Schizosaccharomyces pombe: one gene and its partner. The protein of the gene in region 2 interacts with the protein of the main gene of each other region in a pairwise test. Each region holds a gene or a part of one and is shown on either strand. Other genes may lie near its edges.

Region 1 (7,154 bases), on a different chromosome or scaffold from region 2:
AAGCACCATTTTCGCCTTGATTGATAAAATTTGATATGTTGATAGGGGTCTGTCCAATGAGTTTGTCTTCACCAGATGAATTGTAATTCATCACTTGTAAAAAGAAGATGTCATGTTTGGTAATTACGGGTGCATACATGTATTCATCCCAAAACGGATTTACATTGCTAGCAATGACCACTGTCCTAAACTGTTTCGTATTGTGGGACATGATGCGTGCGTAAGAATCACATTTTTTACCAGGAATCTTAGAGTGCAAATTATTCGCCGAACGTAAATGGATACGAATTGCACCGATGGGAGTAGCAAGAGCCATCGAAGAAATACTGTCGTTATTTAACTGAGCAGGTTTCCACATAACAGACATACGTACTCTACCGGATGGAGCATGTTGTAATGGAAACCATAAAAGACCCGTCTTAGTAGCAGCAAACAAGTCCTGCAAAGATACATTAGCGGTCCCAAAAGGATGCTCTGATTCCTCCGTGAATATTTGAACACCCAGAGTAGCATTCTTCCCTTCTGGAAGAAGAGTACCAAAGGATTCTTCCCATGATGGATTATTGTTTTTCTTAATCTTTCTGGTCGTATAGACTTCTTTATTGTTAATAATCAATTTGGCATAAGCGGTAGGTCGTTTCGATGGATCATTGCTAAGCTCTTTGCATTGATGCACAGTAAATTGCAGAACACCAGGGCCATCGACTTTAGTAATTTCTTCGCCAGAATCAGGCACAACTGCATGGAATTTCATGTCATAATTTAAACGACCAACAGTCTTGCCTTTTAAAGTCAATTCTACAAACGCATCATTTGTCACAGGCATAGCTTCCAGAGTAGCTAATGGTAGTACAGCACTGCCCAGAAGTTTGTCACTTCGAATATCGTTAAAATCATATACCTCCAAATTCAGGTTCTCTGAAAACGAATTCAAAACGGAATAAAAAGTTTCGTTGAATACCGGCGAACCAGTGTTGTGAGCCACTTTAGATTTACCAATAACACGATCCGCTGAATTTTTTATAACAACATATGGATCAACAGCTCCACCTAAACCGTCTTTAAAACCATCTCCCTTGCGTAACTTAAATTCTACGGCTCCGAGAGCAGTATTTAAGCCAGCGGCACCCATCATAGATTCGATATCCAGCTCATACACATTGGGACTGTACATCATTGGGCCCAACGTGTTATGTATCTGTTCGGTGATAAACGTAGTAAGACCCGGAATGTTGCCAATATCAAAACCAAACTTATCACCTCCGAGAGGTTTAAGAATGTAAGAGAAAACAGGTTTCTCGGTAAAAGTCAAACCGACAGTCTTGGCATACGGGTATTTATCAATAAGCTTTACTTTAACACGAAGGTTACCAGTGAAGGAAAGGTCCTCAATTAAAACAGGCATTTTAGCTGAAGCAATACTTTTTCCTATTTTCAAATCAAGAGCAATCTTAGGTTTGATGCAAGCAGCAATCTCACGACCCGTTAAGTCACTAATATCATTTGGACTAAATGCTAATCTCAAATCCATCATAACAGTGTCTTCCTCTGTTTTAGGGTAACTACGGATAAATCCCATTCTCGGTGATTTGGTTCCCAGAGTAAATTCGGAGAGAGCCATGGAGTCAATAAAGCTGGGGACATTTTCTGAAAGAATCTGATCCGTAATTTCCGTTATTCTCTCACTTAAAGAAGGTTCAAAAATATACCAAAATTGTTGTAAAAAGGTGTTTAGCCAAGTGACAGTTTCGCTATCATTTTCTAATTTTCGTGTAGAAAGATATCTCGTATAGTCGTCTTTGAAATTGACTTTAACACGTCGATCGCAAATTCGGTAGTACTGGATACAAACAGCCATAATAATGAAAAGACTCAAAAATCCGAAGCGCAAATAACCAAACAAAAATGACATGACTGCCGTATACAAAACAAGCCTTGAATCCTGGAAATGTTGCATAAAGAGAATTTTAAGCTCAATGCATAATTGTAAACGTTCATCAGTCAGCCAAGGACAGTATTGTGCCAAAATGTTCCTAACCTTTTGGTGCCTTTGAATGAATTGCATCGCATCCCTTTTCCTTAATTCCCTCTCGCTAACAGGACGAGTGGGCACTCCATCAACGTCTGATTTCTCTTCAGATGATTTGGGTGCTTGCATTTGTTTAGGGACCTTTAAGTCTCTAGCACCTGAGCCACGGGCTCCAGTATCATCCTGTACTTGAACCTCAGAAACTCCAGCTGATTGTGGGTTTAAGTTATTCTTGTCTGATGGTGAAGCTTCTTGTTCCTTAACTTTCACCTTAACACCACCACCAGCTGTATCAGTAGGAAGATGCATTTTTTCAACCTTTTCATTCGGGTCGGCATTGCTAGCACCCTTAGAGGGCTCAGCCTGCGAAGACATTGTTTCTGCTTAAACAATCAAAATAAGGTGTAGTTTCTGCTTTATATAAATAACTGGTTAATCCGATAACCAAAAAATAAATAGTTTCCGTAATTAATAAATATTGCTAGACCAAAAGAGAACGAATAGTCAAAAAAAAAAAGGTCTTATCACTGCTTGGTTCGTGACAGATGTTGGAGATTAAAGTCACAGTGTATAACTGGCTGTCATAATGAATCAAGAGTACACCAATATCTGGCCAGTTTTACTTTCCCTTAAGATTCCTTAAAATAAGTTGGAGTTTTTGGCGCTACACAGAACGGCGTTTAAATTCAGTAACAGGATTTAGCATAACAAATAGGGCGCCCTTGTTAAGTTATATAATCGGTCTCATATTGAAACACTGTAGAATAATAGTAGTGTCGAAAGCGGATTGAAAACTAAATATGAAACGACTTCCTTGCGATTTTCATAATTATAGGTGTATTTTACACAAGAAACGTTTATCTACAGGATTGCCGAGTATTTTATAAAGGTTTAAGTTTATTAATTCACATTTTTTTAGCTAATCAACGCTACAAAATTAACGCAAGGCTAAAAATCCTCAACACAGCTGATTAAGAATCGAGTTTTTAAATAACCTGTATTAAATAGTAAAAACCAAAACTATATACTTTAAAGGCGGTCATAATATTCAGTGTAGTCGGGAACATTTTCCTTAAGACCCTTACGCTTACGAGCTTCGCAAACAATTTGACCAGGTTTAGAAGTAGGATCCAATGGATCACCAGACATGGGAGACCAATGGTCAAATACCAATTGAGGGAAAGCTTGACCAGCAGTAGCTTGACGAAGTTCACCAGTGAAACCGAAAGACTCGTTGACGGGAAGGTAAGCCTTGATGTTGTACAAGGGAGTACCAACACGTTGCTCCTCAGAAAAGACATGACCACGCTTCTTGTTAAGGACAGAGTAAATACCACCCATAGCGTTTTCGGAAACTTGGATTTCGACCAAGAAAACGGGCTCCTGGATGATGGGAGAAGCCAAAAGGGTAGAAGCGTAGACGACACGACGAGCAGTAGGAATAATTTGACCACCACCACGGTGAATAGCATCAGCGTGCAAAACAACATCAAGAATGTTGAAACGGCAAGAACGCAAGTTCTCCTCAAACATGGGACCCTCCTTGGAAGCCCAGGCAAAAGCAGCAACAACGGAATCCTTGATTTCGTTTAAGTAAGCAACAGCCTTGGTTTGATCAACAACAACATTGGCACCAGTGGTGTCAGGACCGAAACACCAAATCTTACGAGCATCAGTGACATCCCATCCAAACTCGTCAGCCATGATACGAGCACGAACCTTGAAATCATCACGAGGATTGACGTGACCAGTCTCAATGGCGACAGAGAGTTCTTCACTCATGGGCTCAGCAGTCATGAAGATACGGTTGTGCTTGTTGGGAGACTTAGAGAGAGCAGTCATGCTAGAGGGCTCGCTAACGGACTCACGGTAAGAAACGACGGGAGGAGAAATCTTAAGAGGGATACCAGCATGGTCTTCTTGCAAATCCTTCAAGCAAATCTCCAAGTGGAGCTCACCAGCACCAGCAACAATGTGTTCACCAGATTCACTGGTGGTACACAAAACACAAGGGTCGGATTTGGAAAGACGCTTAAGACCTTCAACAAGTTTAGGCAAATCATTACCGTTCTTAACCTCAACAGCGACTTGGACGACTGGGGAGACGGAAAACTTCATAACCTTCATGTTGTGGGCAACTTCGGAAGTGGTCAAAGTACCAGATTTGACCAAAAATTGATCAACACCGACCAAACCAATAATGTTACCAGCAGGACAATCCTCAATAGGCTCAATTCTGGAACCCATCATAAGGACGGTACGTTGGATAGCCTTGATGAAGAGATCGTCCTTCTTACCGGGAACATAGTTAGGGCCTTGAATGCGGACCTTCAAACCAGAACGGACAGTACCGGAGAAGACACGACCAAAAGCATAGAAACGACCACGATCAGATGTGGGAACCATCTTAGAAACGTAGATCATAAGAGGAGCATTGGCATCACAGTTACGGATACCAACAGCACACTCGTCGTCCATGGGACCTTCATACAAAGTCTCAGCACGATATTGTTGAGCAGTCTTAGGAGAAGGAAGATGAAGGACAATCATTTCCATAAGGGCATCAGCAGCAGGCAAGAACTTGCGCATAACGACCTTCAAGAGAGCCTTACCCTCAAGCTCCTTCTCATCGGGCTTGATGGTAACCTCGAGCTTACTCAAAAGAGTGAAGACCTCGTCTTTGCGGCTGTTCATAACAGCATCGAAAATACGATAAATGGGATCCAAGATGAACATGTTGAAAGCACGTTGGTTAGAGTTACCGTTAGCATCGGTAGCAGACTTGGACCATTTCTTGGTCTTAGGGTTGAAGTAGTTTTCACCCCAAAGACGTTGCATCATCTTGTTACGGTCAATACCAAACTTCTTAGCATAACGGTTGGCAAATTGACGGACAGTGAAAGCCCAACCATGAAGACCGGAAGCAAAAGCTACAGTACCCTTGTCAGGGAAAACTTGGCAGTCGCCAAGGACCTTGTCGTAATAAGTAGAAATAACGACGTTAACAGATTCAACGACACGAGCAAAATTTTGATAAAGCTCTTCTTGAGAAATTTGAAGTTCGAGCAAAGCACGGTCAACTTTGTTAACAACAACAACTGGTCTAATACGTTCACCCAAAGCTTGACGGAGCACAGTCTCGGTTTGGACACAGACACCCTCAATGGTATCAACAACGACCAAAGCACCGTCAGTGACACGAAGAGCGGCAGTAACCTCAGAAGAAAAGTCAACGTGACCGGGAGAGTCAATCAAGTTAACCAAGAAGTCAGTACCATCAGCAGGCTCCTTCATATCCTTCATATCATCGTCAGTCATTTCAGCAAACAAGGAAATGGCAGTAGACTTGATGGTAACACCACGCTCTTGTTCGTCAGCACGAGTATCCATGAAACGAGCATCACCAGCCTTGGCAGCAGAAATAATACCGGCCTTTTGAACCAAAGAATCAGTCAACGTAGACTTGCCGTGATCGACGTGAGCAATCACAGACATGTTACGGACATTGGATGGTTTTCCCATCAAATTACGGACCTCTTCAGGAGTGAACGCAACCATTTTTTAGAGATTTTTAAATGTCAGTGGCGGACGAAACAATTTCAAACACACCAAGTCAAATTGATATTATAGTCTGAAACCCTAACCCTGTGTTTTTTGCGATTTATTGCGTTGCAGTATTTTAATCGTCGTTATAATAATGCATTAAGTGAAATTTAAATTAAAAGAAAATACCTATTTGAGAATTAGAGAGGGATTACATGACTAGGAAGGTTGAGTTTTAAAGTCATTCTCTCTTATTTCAAGTTTTTGTTTAGTGGGTAATTGTGCTTTTCTGGCTTAAAAATAATCTTTGTTGTACAAACTGCTTTGGATCTTTTATTAAAGATTGGTGATTTTCGAATAAGTAATTTTTAAATACATTTATTATTCTGCTTTCTGTGACAATGTACCAAGGATTAAAACATCTTGACACAGCAAATCTAAATACTAAAAGTACCTAATTTTTGAAGTCTAAGGCTGTGCTCAGGGCCTAAGATTAATGGTTTCATTTAGAAAAATTTAATGACAGTTGAATATTTGTTAAATTCAATGAAATTTTATTCACCGATTAACTTGCCTTACAAAGACTTCATACCAAATGATGTTGAAAAAAATGGTTCAAGCTAGTAAATCCAAATCAATTGAAAGATTCTGCTTTTAGAAAGGCGTAAAAAGGCTTCTTCTAAGGTACCCAGCTTCACCCTATACTAATTTTAGTAAATTACTTGCGTGAGCCTTCATAATAAATACTAGGAAATTCACTTACATAATGCATAATTATTTAATTGAAAGCTTAAATTCATATTCCAGTAGCATATTATATACAAATATACAAGCATTCTTCCTCTTGGAAATTGAGGATACTCTATAATAGCGAAAGAAACCTGTCAGGCATAACAGAGTATAATCCCATACTGTGTGGTAATTAAAACAATAATATTTTACAAATATTGATCAATTACTAAAAAAATTAAATAAAATAAAATTTGGAACGTGAGGTTATTAGCCTTCCTAAAACAAAACTAAGGTTGTTATATTAGCGAAGACTTTAAAGCTTCGCTAGTTAGTTTAAGTACTGAATATATTAGATGTCATTAAAAAGTTACAAAGGAAAACAGTTTCTTTATTTCTCCTAGATATAGTGAATAATTGAATATACATAGCACTAAGGATTGCTATACAATCATATGAAAATTTTCGGGTTCGAAGATGTTCTGTTAAATACAGCATAGCATCATTCTTACGTTAAAACATGAAATGACATGCCAAAACGTAAACGACAGATTCCGGATTTGGTAATTGAAGAAGCAAACTATCTCGATAGTGTCATACTCCTTATTCGGTATTTATTCTTTTCATAGCTCTGTCTCTGCCTTATATTTGTAGGGCCTTCCTGCACTTTATGATCAGTACTTTCAATACTTGTAACACTACAATACCCTCAATTGCCAGCAGCGTTATTTTGTAAGTTCCTTCTAATAATAAAAAAAAGCATTTTACTCTTATAATGGCATCTAAAGGAATCGATAAAACCATTTATTTTGTTCGACATGGTCAAGTTTCTCATGATGTTGACGAAAATGGC
Region 2 (7,941 bases):
GATAGGTTGTTTCAAAAAGCTCCGGCATATTCACAAATTTGTCTCTTAACAAGGCACATTCAAGTTTGATATGATATGCAATCAAAACAACAAGTTCGACAATCTTCTTGACCTTGCTCAACTGATTATAATCAGCTCCTCTTAGAACTATGGTGCAGCCTAAACGTTCCGAGCAGCGATCAAGTATAGCAAACGTTTTCCTCAACCCTTTGTTTTCATCGACAACATACGTTCTGAGTTGAAACCTGCCGCAAGTACCAAGACGAGGACAAAGCGACAATTTATCTATTGACGATATTATGTCTGCACGACAACATCTAGCTATGTCATATAAAACTGATTCTTTAAGTCCATGAAAGGCTATAACGCCATGTTCTTCAAAGTACTTCAAGGCAATACTGGGGATTTGACCCTGAGCAAAAACTAGATTCGGTTTAAGCATGCAGATTCTATTGACAAGATTTATAATATACTCTTCTTGCTGAGAGATGATTAAATCCAAGGATAAAATTCTCTGTTCGTCACAAGCGTAGTCTAAACTGAAAGTTAAAAGAGCTATACGAGGCCGACGAAGCGAGCGGTCCATAGATTTGGACGAAGCTTTTTTTGAGAACAAAACACCATTAACAAGAAAACAATCTTGAATGCTTCCCCCGGGAATCTTTTTTATTTTTACATAGCTGCGGACATCAATATCATCACCAGAGCGAATATCAGGACCTAGATCCAAAGCCATTTTTAAAAGAATTTTTGGGAGACAAAGTACCCATTGCATAGGCGAATCCACACCCTCATCATTTAGCATTTGAAAGAGTAATTTTCCCAGAAAAGTACATACAAGCTGATTAAATGAATCAGAGAAGAGAATCCAAGGTGGTAAAATACATGTGCTTTTGGAAGAGGTAACTACAGAAGAAGCACGCGACTTTCCCTGGTAAGGAAGAGGCTCTTCTGTTCCACCGGGATGATTCACCTTATCAACTCGCGCATTGAAGTTTTCAATTAAAGCGGGAAGTCCATCGGGAATAGTAGAAGAAGGAAAAAGATAGTCGCAAACCGTTTTCGGAAGAAAAGCTTTTAAAAAATTTGATAAGTAACTTTCATTACCGTAACGCTGAATTGATGCAACATTTTGCTGGCGTTGCTTAATAATTGCACTATTGGCATGAAAAGAAAGGCCCAATCCATCATTGAATAGTGATTCATCGTCGGAGTCGGAGAAATGATGATAGGAATTGCCCGAATCGGCCAAACCCCGTTCATCAGTCAAGGAAGAACTTCTTGAAATAAAGGGTTCATTTATTACTGTGCTCAATCGATCGTAAGACGTTGCTTTTATATTTGGAGAAAGGTTAACAAATGAAAGGCCTCTGTCGCCTTTGCTAAAATCCTCGAGCCGGTTTCTTTCATCAGCCGACAAGTACATATCAGAGACTTTCGCTGAGGAAAACGCTTTATTCTTTCTTAACTTTGAGTATGAAGGTACTTTTCCAAAATTGACGGGACGATAATCTGTGGAAACAGAGCTAGGACCAGCATCGTAACTATTTGTAATGGTTAAAGCATTATATTTACCACTTTCGGAATCTTCAACATTTATAACATTCGAATCTAAATTCCTTTTGCTCCAGTCAAGAAAGATGGAATGGTGAGCCCAACCAGGAGAATCATAATTCGAGCGACTAGAGGGAATAGCTATCATTGGAGCAACTTCAGGAGGATGAATATTATTAGGCATCTCAAATGTGCTACTTAAATCTCCAAATGATGATAGTACTTGATCATTCGAATTAAGTTCGTCCAGTGTAACAAACGGATGTTGCTCCGTAAGATCTCTATTTTTGGATTCGTTTAATGAATGATTGAATAGCTGGCTTCGAGAATAATTATTAACTAAAATTGAAGCACATGGACGACACACTTTGATCGATCCTTGGAGACGAAAGATAAATCCAGGAGCTTCTTTTAAGCAATATTTGCAGATAATTTTCCCACATATTCTACAATGATGTTTCCTTCGAAATAAAGTAAATTCCGTCTCACATAATGAACAGTTGTTTGTTCTTTCATCTTTCATCCAAAATTCGCGCGACAACGTACTAGTCGGCAATTTCAACGTAGTGTGGACAACATTCTCGGAATCTTTAATGATTTGCTCTGTGCTTGATGTATGCAAAGTATCTAAACGGTGAGAGGTTTCAACAGGAAAAGTGGGCGAGGCTGCGGTAGGCGTTTCGACTTCTGACATTTGAACAGAAATGCAAACCGAAGATTAAAATTATCTCCGGAAATTATTGGTTCTATTAATTAAGTTCTATGAATTGTCATGATTGTTATATCGAAAAGCATGTACGTTAAACGCAGCTGTTTGATAATAAATACTTTAGGTTTTGGTGTTGATAGAATAGTGTATATTAACGAGATTCGCCGAATTTAAGTTTTACAAAGCCATAGCAATACAAGAGCTTTCGGCTTTACTGTAGAGCTAGATATTATAGCAAACAAGAATTTGGTTTAATCACACACGAAAACCATAACATTCTTAACTTTAAACTGTATGTTGATTACTGAAAAAGAAAGGTACCCTAGGCTATATATTTATGTGTACTTTTTTTTATAGGAAACATTGGATCACCCAAGGATTAGTGGTAGTATGGAAACACTCGCTCAAGGCCAAGGAGATTTAACTACTTTTAGGTTAGCGTGTCCATGAACCAATGAACTAGTAATATAAAGAATAAAAATAGAAAGGAACACATCTATGAAGCCCTTGTCCCTAACATGAAATCACAAAACTTCCGCTTAAACAAACCTTATGGCTCACTAATAAAACCAAAAATTGTTAAGAGCATATTATCAGATCTCCGCAAAAGGAAGACGATTTCATTGCCCCGGTGATTTAAGACTCAAAGAGCATACACAACTTTATGATATGCTAATGTAACTCCTGTTAATTCATTAGGAGCTACATAATACTGTTCTTTTTTTTTGAAAAAAATAAAAATAAATCTACACATATTACGATAGAGCATTTTGAAACAACTTGTTTTCTAATTAGGAATAAAAAAATATTTATTTATTTATTTATTTTGAAAAATTGCTAGAGATCACTTGCTCATCATTGGAGAATCGTAACAAGTGGTAGTCAAGATCATTAAAACACTGTCTGACAGCTGGCCATAAATTGCTTGATGTGGAATTTAAATGCTCTTTTACTGTTTAGAAGACCGTGTTCAATTCATTATCAAAATTCATCAATCCAATGGCAAGCGGATCATTAATTGCATATGTTATGATTGATTGTTAAATCAAACAATAATATATGCTCACAATCCAACAAGATTGGTCTCATAACCATTTCGAAACTATCATATTAAAATCGGAAGAGACGATTTTACTTAATAGCAATTTGTTTCTTAGTTTGGGACTTCTCGACCTTGGGCAAGGTGACAGTCAATAGGCCATTACTGAAGTTGGCCTCAATGCGATCTGCATCAATCTTGGCTGGAATAGTAATGGTACGAGAGAATGAGCCAAAGCGACGCTCTGACCAGCGTTGGTTACCCTCGGTGCTTTCATTCTTTCTCTCATTGACGACTTCGCCAGAAATAGTAAGTTTTCCGCTATCATAATGGACTTGAACGTCCTCTTTCTTAACACCAGGGAGTTCTACATCAACGCTAACAGTGTCTTTACCCTCATGCACATCAATCGAAGGAGACAACTCCCCAGGAATTTGGTTGTTCAAACGAGGGGAGTAACTAACAAAGTCAGAGAACAAGTCGTTGACAGTAGGGGGAAAGCCGAAAAAAGGTTGCAAAGACATTTTTTAAAATTTAAACAATTGCGAGTAACTTGAAATTATATGAATTCAATTCAAATCTGTATTTGTTCGATGCTGGACTAGCGGAAGGAGTACCCTTATTTATACCTTTCTGGGAAGCACGGAATGGGATGGATGTCATATATTGTACGATGACTCGAATTTTCTCGTAAACGTTGTGAAAGATCACGAATTTGCCGGAGTTTGTACTTTCGGAACGGCGTCTTTTGCTAACACTCAAACTCTGTATTGGGTGGACTTAGATGTTCGTTAGTGCTTGCTCTAGAAAAGTCCAAATTTGCCACTTATGCGCCACAACCGAGGCAGATTCAAATATAAACTTCGGTACGCAAGGCTGTGCTATCTTTCTAGAGAGATCTAGAAAATAATCATTCTAGTAGAGTTAGAAAAATACTCATTTCATTGACTGTATATCGTTTCCTTTACCTTATTTTTTTTTTTACTTTGTAGTCAACTAACCAAAATAAAATTTTTAGGACGCATTTAGATTTGTAAATAAACCATAACGTAAGAATTTTTCTTTCTAATCTTATGATTTGAGCGCTTTATTGGCAAAGACGTATTTTGTGCATTCACGCAATTGTTGCTCATGCACTTGAAAACATTTCATAAATCTATAAAACTTATGCGACTTCCTCTTGTTCGTCATAAAATTGTTCTTCTGCAATATCTACGTTAAAAGCATAGCAATATGAATAGTTAATTCCTTTACTTTACACAATTGTTGGGTTAAGTTACGCAAATTTCTGCGATTGTTAACTTTTTAAATATTCAAATAATAAATATATTTGAAGGAATCGGACGTTCTACTGTATCGTCGCACCTCATATTAGATGTTTTTTCCATCATTGCAGTAATGCTCACGGTAGAGTGTTTGATTTACGCAATAAATTTCACAAGTGACTCAATTGGAAGATCCTTAAAATTGTGGGGTACATCCCGTCGCTTACGATTTGCGGAGACGGAGAGTTTTCACAACAAAAAACCTACGTCATTATTTACCCAACATGAGTTTTCCTATTCATGCGCATATCAATGAAATCTATATTATCGTAAAGTCAATTTCGTACAGCTGTCGTTTTAATCTTTAGTTTAGAAAAAAGTAGCTAACTCTCTAGCAAGGAAAATAAATATTGAGGTTTATAACATGATTCAACCACTACATTCGAAAAGCAAATGAAAAATTTACGACGGAAGCTATCGCTCTTTTTTCAATAAACAAACCCTTTCCTGAATTGTTGACAAAGTTTATTATTAATTACTAATAAACAACTATGAGAAAAGATGGGGAAACTGCAAATTATGCCTAATGACTGCCGAATATCATGATATTACTTCCATCTTTCCATTCTGCCGTCTTCTTTTAAGTCTTTTACCTACCGAATAATACATGATCAAAATCTTACTAAAAATAATGTCGTTTAATAACTCATTACATATTACATACCGCATAATGCGAATTGCAATATCCGACGGTTAAAATATAGACATTTACGGTATACAAATGAAGTTTACCAACTCACTAGACAATGTAAAATACACGACGTACTAACTTGCTTTGCTAATTTTGATAAAATGAAGAATTTCATGAAATTTAAAAGTGGAAAACATTAACAGTAAAATATGTATAGGTCCAACAAAACTATGATAACAATGATATATGAAACTCTCCGAACTCATTTGAAAAATAAGACAAAAGACAACGTCTATACTTTAGTTTTTTTTAATCAGAATCATTATCATCCAATTTCTCATACAAGCCGCTATTTACAGCTTGTTGGATAGGATTAGTAACTTGAATAGTACTATTTTTTTCCAAGCTACCAACGTCAGCCAAATATACTCGAGACATATATATGTATTTTTTTAAAAAAAAATAAATAAACAAACAAACTTACCGTTGAAACAAATAGAATAATCTTTCTGCTTCTCGCTCTTTCTCTTCTTGGCTTAACTCAAGTCTTTGAGATTTATTTCTATTTGTGCACATACTCCCAGTAATAGGATCGATTGCAAGGTTATTTTCTTCAGTATTTTCTTGGCCCCTTGAATTTTTCTGGAATACTGGTGAAGCGGCTTTTGAAAGTGGGCTAGGAAATGGCATAGTTTCGGAATGTTGTGAGATACCCATCGCATATCCAGCTCCAAATATTCGTGCAATTTGCTGTGAATCCCCGTCGCATAGTTCATTTAAAAGGGACGCGTAGTAAGTGCCAATGGGCTCAACAATTGGTATAGTTAAAAGTCTCAGTAAAAGGCAACGGAAGCTTTTACCCTTTTGAAGACTCTGTTTGCGATCATCGTTAGTTGGAAATAATAGCATAGAAAGGTTCTGTTTAATGTTAAAAAATGAAAGAAGAGAAAGCAGAATTGCTAAAATCGGTGGCAGAGTATTTTGATACTTTGCTGCTATGTCAAAGCACAAATTTAGGCCCTTTTCTAGGTATTCTACTTCGCGGGAAATAAGTATGGATTGTAAAGTTTGACAAGCAATTTCAGAAACATAAATGGCTTGGTCAAGGGAGAGCAGCTGCAGATTGAAAGATAGTAGAGCATTGGTAGCATGCCATCGAAGCGGCGAATTAGGATTGTTATTTAAAGAACTGGCCCAAATTTCAATTACAAGTAGAAGAATTCTGAAGGAAGAATTAGCAAAACCAGAGATAAAGGAACTCATTAATTTTTCAAATAAACGTACTTTTGTTCGTCTTCCTCCTTTAAGTATGAACGTTTGCTAATTGGAAAAAGCAGCCTCAAAATTTCAGTTAAAACCATTTCGTTATCTTGGCTATTATTAGAGGGCGAGCTATTTAGTGTCCACATTTTCTTCAACATCTTTCAATACTGGGTTATTTCGAATAAAAAAAAAGCGTCGATATAATACTTACCTGTATTAACTGAGTTCTAACCTGTCGCATATCTAAGCAAATATCATCGGTTTGTGTAGATAGGAGAATGAATAAAAAACGCATGAAAACAACTCTTCTCTCCAAATCGTCATTCTGATCGTGTGTTAAAAAAGTAATGTTGAGTAAGAAGGAAGAAAATATAAAAAAAATCAAATTCAACCTCTTTGTCTGCCTTATAGACAAATACAAAGGTTGAAATCAGTGATAAAACTTTTGGGGCTCTTACTTCGAAAACAGAGGTAGTGAGTTGTTTTAAGGACTCATTGTGTACAATTTGTACTGAAATACTGGGTACCTGTCTCAAGCAATTTGCTAACAATTTCATCAATTCAAGTGAAACATCCTTTTCCCATAATAAACTTATGACTCTAAGTAGATGGCTCCAATTCTAATCTGTTAGCATCTGTTTCAATATAAGACTTATGCTGGGCATTGATCATCAAAGAACGAAGATATTGAAACGGAAAGAGATTTTGCAATTAAACCACTATACCTATATCCTAAAGTATCAGATTATTGCCTCATAATGTCCCTGTATCAACCTTCACTAGGCCTTTTTCATTTAGAATCTGTACTAATATAGCATCGATACAGTAAGAAACCTTGATCCCACAAATAGCCACTTACCAAAGATTTTGCAACTACTTTTGATGTTTCCAATTCTCTACAAGCTTCTTTTAATTTAATAATAGTAGAGATGGGTATGTTAAAACTTTGGTTTGCTTCGTCATGAAATTGTGTAGCACTTTGTGAATAGCTTTCTATTCCTAACCCCAAACTTTGGATATAAGCTTCCAATTCCATTCCTTTTAAGCACATGAAATAATTTGTTAATTTTAATGAGTTTTCTTTTATTTAAGTCTCCATTAACATCAATTTATTTGCGCTTAAGATTAGTGTACTTAAGGTCTTACATGACTACCTACTTCAGCGTCAAAAGTTGTAACAACGCTGACATTCGTAAAAATGGTATCAGTCCTTTACACTACTGTCACCATTACTGCACTACACTATGCAATTTGCTCTGCGTTTACAAGATGCTCATATTTCTAAATATTAGTCAAGAACCTTTTATCAACAATTACGCATGAAATTTTTTATGCTTTATATAACTACCCTTTAATGAAAAATTTTAGAATTATCATAAAATGAAGTTCCACCGAGCTGGTTCCTCAGTTCGATTATTTA

What was found. Proteins that work in one complex are often made in the same cells at the same time.
Region 1: the proteins of hsp16 (region 2) and eft201 interact in a two-hybrid assay, tested with the Schizosaccharomyces pombe proteins (one study listed by BioGRID).

Annotation. Positions count from the first base shown.
Region 1 is NC_003424.3:2,904,643-2,911,796, forward strand, and holds eft201 (translation elongation factor 2 eft201), read right to left. Parts: upstream 5,620-7,154; 5' UTR 5,588-5,619; coding exon 3,059-5,587; 3' UTR 3,001-3,058; downstream 1-3,000. Other genes in the region: tcb3 (tricalbin), read right to left, coding at 1-2,404; SPOM_SPAC513.02 (phosphoglycerate mutase/6-phosphofructo-2-kinase family), read left to right, coding at 7,077-7,154.
Region 2 is NC_003423.3:2,657,096-2,665,036, forward strand, and holds hsp16 (heat shock protein Hsp16), read right to left. Parts: upstream 3,898-7,941; 5' UTR 3,827-3,897; coding exon 3,395-3,826; 3' UTR 3,044-3,394; downstream 1-3,043. Other genes in the region: 1-phosphatidylinositol-3-phosphate 5-kinase Fab1, read right to left, coding at 1-2,248; SPOM_SPBC3E7.17 (uncharacterized protein), read left to right, coding at 4,701-4,883; ric8 (synembryn ric8-like protein), read right to left, coding at 5,393-5,555, 5,602-5,664, 5,743-6,480, 6,543-6,679, 6,733-6,846, 6,941-7,141, 7,381-7,557.